Linked DNA regions of Tribolium castaneum. The protein of the gene in region 2 binds, or shares a complex with, the protein of the main gene of each other region. Links are inferred from orthologs where the notes say so. Each region holds a gene or a part of one and is shown on either strand. Other genes may lie near its edges.

Evidence for each region. The genes of interacting proteins can lie anywhere in the genome.
Region 1: the proteins of WD repeat-containing protein 48 homolog (region 2) and WD repeat-containing protein 20 are in contact, whole or in part, in a crystal structure (PDB 5K1C), measured with the Homo sapiens proteins. The link is inferred for Tribolium castaneum from reciprocal best matches to the Homo sapiens genes WDR48 and WDR20. Residues at the interface, in NP_065890.1 of Homo sapiens: Val191, Lys207, Gly208, Gly240, Gln241, Gln242, Arg243, Cys244, Ile245; in NP_653175.2 of Homo sapiens: Arg20, Ser364, Thr384, Glu385, Asp386, Glu524, Pro525, Leu526.

Annotation. Positions count from the first base shown.
Region 1 is NC_087396.1:10,866,528-10,870,281, reverse strand, and holds WD repeat-containing protein 20, read right to left. Parts: upstream 2,531-3,754; 5' UTR 2,084-2,530; coding exon 725-2,083; 3' UTR 501-724; downstream 1-500. Other genes in the region: DppIII (dipeptidyl peptidase 3), read left to right, coding at 1-143; UDP-glycosyltransferase UGT5, read right to left, coding at 3,113-3,410, 3,465-3,684, 3,732-3,754. UniProt on the Homo sapiens protein: Regulator of deubiquitinating complexes. Activates deubiquitinating activity of complexes containing USP12. Anchors at the base of the ubiquitin-contacting loop of USP12 and remotely modulates the catalytic center of the enzyme.
Region 2 is NC_087402.1:5,165,159-5,169,375, reverse strand, and holds the start of WD repeat-containing protein 48 homolog, read right to left. Parts: upstream 2,814-4,217; 5' UTR 2,609-2,813; coding exon 2,561-2,608; intron 2,505-2,560; coding exon 2,300-2,504; intron 2,253-2,299; coding exon 2,040-2,252; intron 1,993-2,039; coding exon 1,649-1,992; intron 1,600-1,648; coding exon 1,495-1,599; intron 1,252-1,494; coding exon 725-1,251; intron 680-724; coding exon 472-679; intron 426-471; coding exon 153-425; 3' UTR 1-152. Other genes in the region: uncharacterized protein LOC107397745, read left to right, coding at 3,593-3,604, 3,655-4,011. UniProt on the Homo sapiens protein: Regulator of deubiquitinating complexes, which acts as a strong activator of USP1, USP12 and USP46. Enhances the USP1-mediated deubiquitination of FANCD2; USP1 being almost inactive by itself.

The DNA.
Region 1 (3,754 bases), on a different chromosome or scaffold from region 2:
TGAGTTCGAACGTCGAATTGAAAACGTATGGGGAAACCCCGGAAGGGATGATCCAGTCGTGGACTGAACGGTTCCCGAATCCCGAGCCCTTGTATCAGGCTTTGATAGATTTAAGTGCCTCTAATGAGCACTATTTTATTTAATTTTTAATAACGATTAATTATTAGATTATATACGATGCTTTATAAACAATAAAATGATTCTTTGCACTTTGGGAATTTTATTCAACCAACCTACCCCATCCCTGACGGCTAGTAATAATAATGATGCTTCAAATTTTTTCTCCCGTTTGTCGTGAAACTAAAATTTTCGTCAGTTTTCTCAGCTTATTAAGAATTTGATGCTCAACGTTACGGCCATTTTTTGCAGTTAGTAAATTTAAATCAGTTTAGAGCCGAGATAATTTAACGCTTGAAGCGCCTTCAATTGCCTTTTGATACAAAAAAGCGAGTTATTTTGTAAGGATTTTATTTGGAAAAAGGGTTAAAATGAAATACAAGTTTCAAAATATCTTCATATATTTACGAATGATAAAATTACGAAAAATCACACCAATTATGCAACAGATTCTACATCCATCAATTACACTTACATGCTATCAGGTGAAAAAATGCAACCAAGCGTTTGCTATTTTACACTTTGGTTCCACAGTTTTATCCACCTGTTATTGCCCCTACTATGTATAAAAGTTGAATAAAAATCTAATTAGAAAAATACGACATATTCAGGAAGGGGGCCTTGCCCATGTATACACATAACCGTCTTGGCACGCCGTAATGATACAATCAGGTCGAAAAACCAAAGCAGTCAACCTTTCATGAGCAATTTTTTTACAAACTAAAGGTTCCAACACCGGACACTCGTCCAGCCTGGGACAGGCCGGTGTCCCCACCAGCTGCAAAGGATCCGACCTTCTCTTAACCTTCGGTTTCGAAGGAGTCGTCAACGCGTCTTCGGGCAGCTCCCAAAGACACAACTGCGTGTCGTGCCCCACTGACCCCAGCCTGTAGCACGACTCCGCCTCCAGGAACCAATCAAACGCCACGGCGGCCACCCACGAGCGGTGCCCCTGCGCCCTCCCGACGACCCGCTTCTGCTCCATGGAGTAAACAGTGACCAAATCGTCTTCGCCCCCCACTGCAATCAGGCGCCCGTCGCCAGACCACGCCACGCAGAGCAGCCCCCCGAAGTACGAGCGGGCGGTGCCCAGCAGCTCCATACTGTCGTACTGGAACACCCGCAACTGCCCATCTTGCGACACTATGGCCAGTTGGGCCCCACTGGGGCTGAACGCCAGCTCGTTAATGGCGCTTCCGGTGCCCAGAAGCCACCGGAAAAGAGGGTTCCGGGTCGATTTCGTCTTGCAAGTGCTCACACTGAAGCCCTCCCCCACTTTGAACGGCTGATAATGGGGGGCTGCCGAGCCACACGGGAGCTCCTCATTGTACACATACAACTGGCCTGAGGCGTGCGCTGCTAGGAACAACGACCGGCTTCCCGGCACCCACCTTAAACATGTAACCCTCGTTTTGTCAATAAGCCGCTCCTCGTTGAACAATTTGTTCAATTCTTTCTTAATCGGGTCAATTAGCTGGATCTGACCCGTGCTGAAGCCGATCAAGAGACTGACGCTCTCGCCCGAAGCTGACGCGATGTTAAAATCGTGACACGTCGGGTTCGTCCCTTTGTACACCTTCTTCTCCAAGGGCTTGCTCAAATCGGCCGCTTTCTTGATCCCTTTGTACACGTAAACGTACAGCTCCCGCCCATGGTTGAAGCAAATTCTCTCCCCCTGGTCCGGAAGCGTGACAAGGGAGACACGCACCTGGGGCGGCGTTTGCCCCTGAGTCTGATAACCGACTCGGTTAGGCCTCGAGTATTCGCTGAGGGTCATGAGACGGTAGGTGCCTTCGCGAGTCACGAACTGGGTCTTCACGTCGCCGGGCTCGCCCCCGAGCGGGCGTTCGAGGGGGCGGTCGCCCGCTTCCAGAAGCGACTGACTACATAAAGTGTCTGCTCTTGCCATTTTCGGGGCCAAAATACGCGAAGACATTCTATGACGAATTCTACAATTTACACACATTTAGGAGCCGAGGTGAAGACGTTGCAGCATTGCAGCGGTGGCTCGGGCGGTTTTATCACATTTTTGCTGGTAGTAAGGCTAATTCACTACTTTTTCGTCTATTTGTGGCAATTAGACATGGAAAATGAGGTTAGGAAATAAATAATATTTGAAAAGCAGAGACGCCAATAGCGGGCAAGGAATATCCCCGCCAGGAGAGCGAGCGGTTTTTTTAAACTGATTATTCATTATTTCCGTTTGGGAATAAAACACTGTAGGGCAACTATTTAGGATAAAATGCAGGTATTCCTATAAGGATGGTAAAATAAGAGTATTAAAATCTATGGACTGCCATTATTCTTACTATTACGGTCTTGTCAAAGCATATTTTTATTTTAACTACTCTACTCTACTATGTATTTTATCAATATTTCTTATGCATTTGGTATTGTTGAACTGATTGTTTTATTTAGTTATTGATAACTACTGTCTGGGCAAATAACACATGACCGCTGTTGATGTAACACGTATCTGATGAATTATTTATAACAATATGCTGAATCAATAAAAATTAAAAAATAATTAGATTGGGCAGCATAGTTTGACTTAATAATTCCAGTCTTAATTTGTGTTTACAATATATTTTTACAATAAAACTTGATTATTATCTTGGAGGTTACCACACGCTCGAAACATATAATTTTGGGAACAAAATAATTTTTTGCCGCGTCTAAACTCTAAACACAAACATTTAATTACAATAATACATACTATAATTTAATGCTTACAATTTTACAACTCTATATACAAGGCAAGTCTGCATTTTTACCGCATTTTTTCTTATTTTAGGCATTGTTTGTTAATAAATTTACGTAAGAAATTTTTTTTTCAAAGATTTAACAGGCATTATATTAATCTATTAATTTTAATTATGAAGAAATGAGCAAAGATTCTGAAAAAATTCACATGCATGCATAGGGAAAAAATTAAGTATTTAATAGCAATAAACCATAAAAAAGTACCTATTTTTATTGGAAGTTGCAACAACATTTATTGTATTTTTTTCTTAATGTCCAACTCCTTTGCAATACCTTTTCTTCTGATGCATTTATAAATAAGATATGTGGCACAGTAAACAGTGAGTAAGATTAACACAAGTGAAAGCAGAGACACAAATACTAAATCTAAATTAGCAGATTCGACGAAATTCATGTTTCTTGTAGCTAGATTGAAGTGTTCTGCAGTCTTAAATTTTAAAATGTATTCGATCCAAAATATTGCGACGTCTAAAGGTTTGTTCATTTGATGTTTGTACAACGCGGACCACTTTTTTGCGTTTTCCATATAACTAAAATTGTTAATTTCACATTTTCCTTGCTACAACTACAATTAACAAACTTACGTATTGTTGTTTAACACTTTTTGAATGACTTTAAATAAATTGTGTTCTGTGATTTCAAAAAAACTTAATTTTTCGCCGACACCTTTTGCAATAAACGTGTCAACATTTTGTAACTGGTCCAAAAAGAACGGAATTCCGATTACTGGAACCCCATTATACATGATTTCGTGTGAACTTAACAAACCGCCATGTGATATAAAAAGAATTGTATTGGGATGACCTAAAATTAGTAATTAAAATAATTAAAAGAAATATAGAAAAAAACACCGAGAATATCGTTCTGTGGCACC
Region 2 (4,217 bases):
TTTTTTAAATAAATTTATTTTAATTTTTCGTGTTACATATTTTTATTGCAAACAAATACGAAAAACATATACTGCTAAATGTTTGATTACAAGAAACTAGTATAAATCTGTCCACCAAAATCATGGATAAATAAATAAGTGTAAGGAATGAATTATTTGGGGTTGACAATCCTGTAGTGCAGCGTCAGGTCTGCCGAAGATTTCCAGATGAAATGTTTAACGGTTCGTAAGTCCATGGCTGGGTCCAGGACTTGGTCATTGCAGGTCAGTTCAATTTGATCAACGTTGTACCCGTTGCCGCTGGGAGTGGTCGAATCGGCGTCACCTCCGGGAGAACTTGCGTTTCCATCCCCCAGTAATTTCTCCAAAATATGTTCGGCAACTTTGCGACACTGGATAAAATCATTGGCTACCAATCTATCGGGCTGAAAAAACAACTTCAAGGAGTGTTAAACCAAAAAAAATAGCTACTTTTTTCAGTCTGTCTTGTTTCAATAAATGAGACGGGACCGAAGAGTGCGGCTGAAGGTAAAACTGCACTTTGATGAATTTCCCGGTACTGTTCTCCTCAATAATGGAAATAACCCAATTAGGCACTGTTTCGTTCAGGAGCGCATTTTCGGTGTCTCCGACTGTGTCGCCCACCAAGACCCGGTAAAGCGTGCGCCCGCCCACTTCACTACAAAAAATATTACGGCAATTTGTCATTTGAGGCTTTATTTACCTCAAAATCAAGGGTATATGTTTGGGTACTGAGAAGTACAGTTTATTTTCGGGGTCTCTCTCCACGCCTCTCCAATGCTCGAACAGTGCTTGCAGTAGCAATTTTCCGTAGTTTACTTTTTGGTCGGGGTCTGGACAGTCCCTGATTCCCGCATCCCTGGCCGAAACCCAGGCCGAGAAGCAATCGACTTCGTCCTGTCCTAAATGAATCGTCAGCATTCCAGTCTTTAAATCAACATTGAACCAATTCGGGACGTAAACTACTTTGAATCGGTTTTTTATTTCGTCTTGGAAATTGATTTGGCCTAGGTCTTCGATTTTTCGCGCACGCAAAACGTCGTAAAGAGCGACATTATCGTTGGCATCTTTGGTCAAAATGTGTCTCTTGTCGTTGAGAACGACGGCCTGACGTATCGCAGCACCGCCTGGTATCAGCGAAATGGGCGATGTCGGCATTTTGGCCTCTTCTTTGAAGTGTTTCTCGGTTGGCAACTTCCAACAGCGAATGCTGGAGTTGGAAGTTGACACCTAGGTAAACCCGAAAGCAAGAAAAATTATAAATAACAGACAATAAAATGCGTGAACGGGAAACGAAACATAAATAGAAAAAAAATGTTGCCTCATGTGCTTCCAAATAACAATAAAAAAAGAGAAATGTTGGAACTACAAAAACTTTGTTCAGCTGTTTGTACCTTGAGTATTAATAACAACAGAAAATGTTGAGGAATTGGGAAATCTTTAAGAAATCTGATGCAAAAAAAAATTACTAACCCAGACAGCCTGCTGGTCTGCCGTGAAGCACATTTTGAGCACTGGCGCCTCCTCCACACAGACCACAACGCTGTTCTGGGGGTTTTTCAGATCAGTCATTATCACCTGGAAGTTATTTGGTAAAATTTTTCAAAATAACGTGCAAAATCATTGCCTTCTTGTCCCTACCACCGGAGATTACATGAGTGAAATTTTCCGTGGCCAGAAGTGCCCAAACGGAGTCGCTATGCACTCTGATTGTTTGGATACACCTCTGGCCCCCTAAACTCCACACTTTGATGGACCCATCGCTGCTGCCAGAAATGCAATGAGTGCCATCTTTTGACACAACTAAAGCCTTAACGTTATCAGTGTGACCTTTTAACTTAAACAACTTGACGCAATTTCGCGGGTCCCAAAGCCTGAGGGCTTTCTCGGTGGATCCGCTTACTATAACAGTGCCTGGAGGGTTCATTGCTAGGCTATAAATTGATTCTTTGCTGCCCATCAAACTAGAAGCTATTAGAATTCGTGTGAGTGTGTGTATTACAACATTCTGGACTTACTAGTGACTGTGTTATTGCTCGCTGTTAGTGCTGTTAAGGTGTTGATGTCCCACAAGTAAATGGATTTATCAAGACCTGCAGACGCGACTTGTTCTCTGTCTTTGGCGTAAGCCAAGGCTTTCACATAGTCTTTATGTGTTCGCAGAGTTGACATGCAGAAGCCCTTGTGGGCGTTCCATACTTTAACAGTAGTGTCAGAACTTGCAGAGATTACTATAAAAATATATTCAGGAAAAAATAAACGAAAGGGGAAGTAATACAGTGCCGGCCTCCGCAACACAGAACTATGTCATTAACCCAATCAGTATGGTGCTCCATTCCGTGTAAATAGCGCTCATGTTCATACACCCTAATAATTGAGTCCCTCCCAGCAGAATACAAACGGTCTAATGCCGGATCTATCTGAAGGGCATTTACCCCAGATCTGTGTCTTTTCTCCTCAGCTTCGCAAATTACCATTGATACCTGGCCAAGATTGTTGCAAAAAACTGTTTTGTAAATACAGAATGTAAACAACTAACCTGGACTTTTTTTCGCGGATTTTGCCCGCCTGGCTTCAGATTTGCCATTTTTTGGAAGTTTAGCAATGTGGCATTTTTTATTTAAAGAAATGGGCTATAAATTGGCGTGATTAGTGTAAAAAAAGCTTTTTTGAAAAGCTTTGTAAAAACTTGAGGTTAGAACGGTCTGACTTTATTTTGACATTTGGGAAGCCAGCGCAGTGGCGGCACGTAATTAGGGGGCAATGATTAAAAAAATGCGAAAAGTTTTGTGTTTCAGTAATAATTCAACTCTAGACCATCCGTCACAATAACCATAACATTTTTGTAATTTTGTACCGGTTTAGAGCAGCGTCATTGTAAATTAATATTCATTACATAAGTGATCACATGACTAAATTGAACCAATCAGAACGCTTCATTAACGCGTCAATCGAAAATTTAATATGAATTTTTGACTTGTTTTCTAGGAATTTTAAAAGATCAAGAATCTTGACTATCATTTGGTGGTTTTTTTCTAAAAGTTATTCGGTTTTTTCTGATATTCTTGCGATAGATTGGACTTTAAAATAGAATGTAAAAAATTGATATTTACTTTTGGAATCACTTTCTGAATTTGTCGTCTTCATACCTATTTACATTTTCCGTTTGTAAATTTTTTTTCTAATAATTTATTTAGAATTATTTATTTGGAAATTATTATTTATTTGATATTTAAAACATTGCCAAATATTTGAACGCATTAACATTTTCTAGAACCAGTCGCAGATTTAGGTACCACAGCAATTATTTTAATTTCCGCGTGCGTGTAACAATTCTTACGTAAGATTTCTAAAGATTTCATTCCACTCTATTAATTAAAATCGGGTACCTAAGCTTAAATTATTGTAAATAGGTCACTTTTACATTTGACCCCTAAATTGTGCACAACGTTGGTAAGAAGTAACTGATCTTAACCATGGTGTTATATTGAAACAAGTGCAAGAATGGTATCACGTTTCAAATAATCACTATATAAATCATGGGGTACCATTCATTCGTCACTGTTTCAGAATGAATCATTTGGTAAGTCCTTAATGAAATTTATTAATTAATAATAATTAATCAATATTAAGTTCGTTGCCGTTTTCGCCATCGTGGCGATAAGTTGCGTTAAGGGAGGGTTTCTGTATGGGGGCGGAGGTGGAGGCGGAGGCGGCGGCGGCGGCGGTCATGGGGGTGGCAGCGTGGCCACTTCAAGTGTTTACACCGCTCGCACCATCCACACCGGATCTCTAGGCCACGGAGGCGGTTTTTCTAGCGGAGGTGGTTTCTCAAGTGGCGGCGGTGGCGGTTCTGGCGGCAGCGGAGGACGAGGAGGACACTCTGGAGGATTCTTCGCCAGTGGCGGCGGCAGCGGCGGAGGCGGAAGTGGCGGATTCAGTTCCGGCAATTTTGGAGGTTTTGGTTACGGACATGGTTTTCACGGCTGAATACGCTTCAAATTTTTGTAATTAGGTTAAGGTAGTTCACTGCGTACATCTTAGATTTAAGTACTGTAAGCTTGACATATCATTAGTAATAAAATCTGTAGTTTATTAGAGACGCGGAGTTTTATTTGTTTTTTTTTGGGGGGGTTTTTGAACAAATCTCACACCGATTAAAAAATAGTTGCATTTATTTATTCCGTATGTACAGA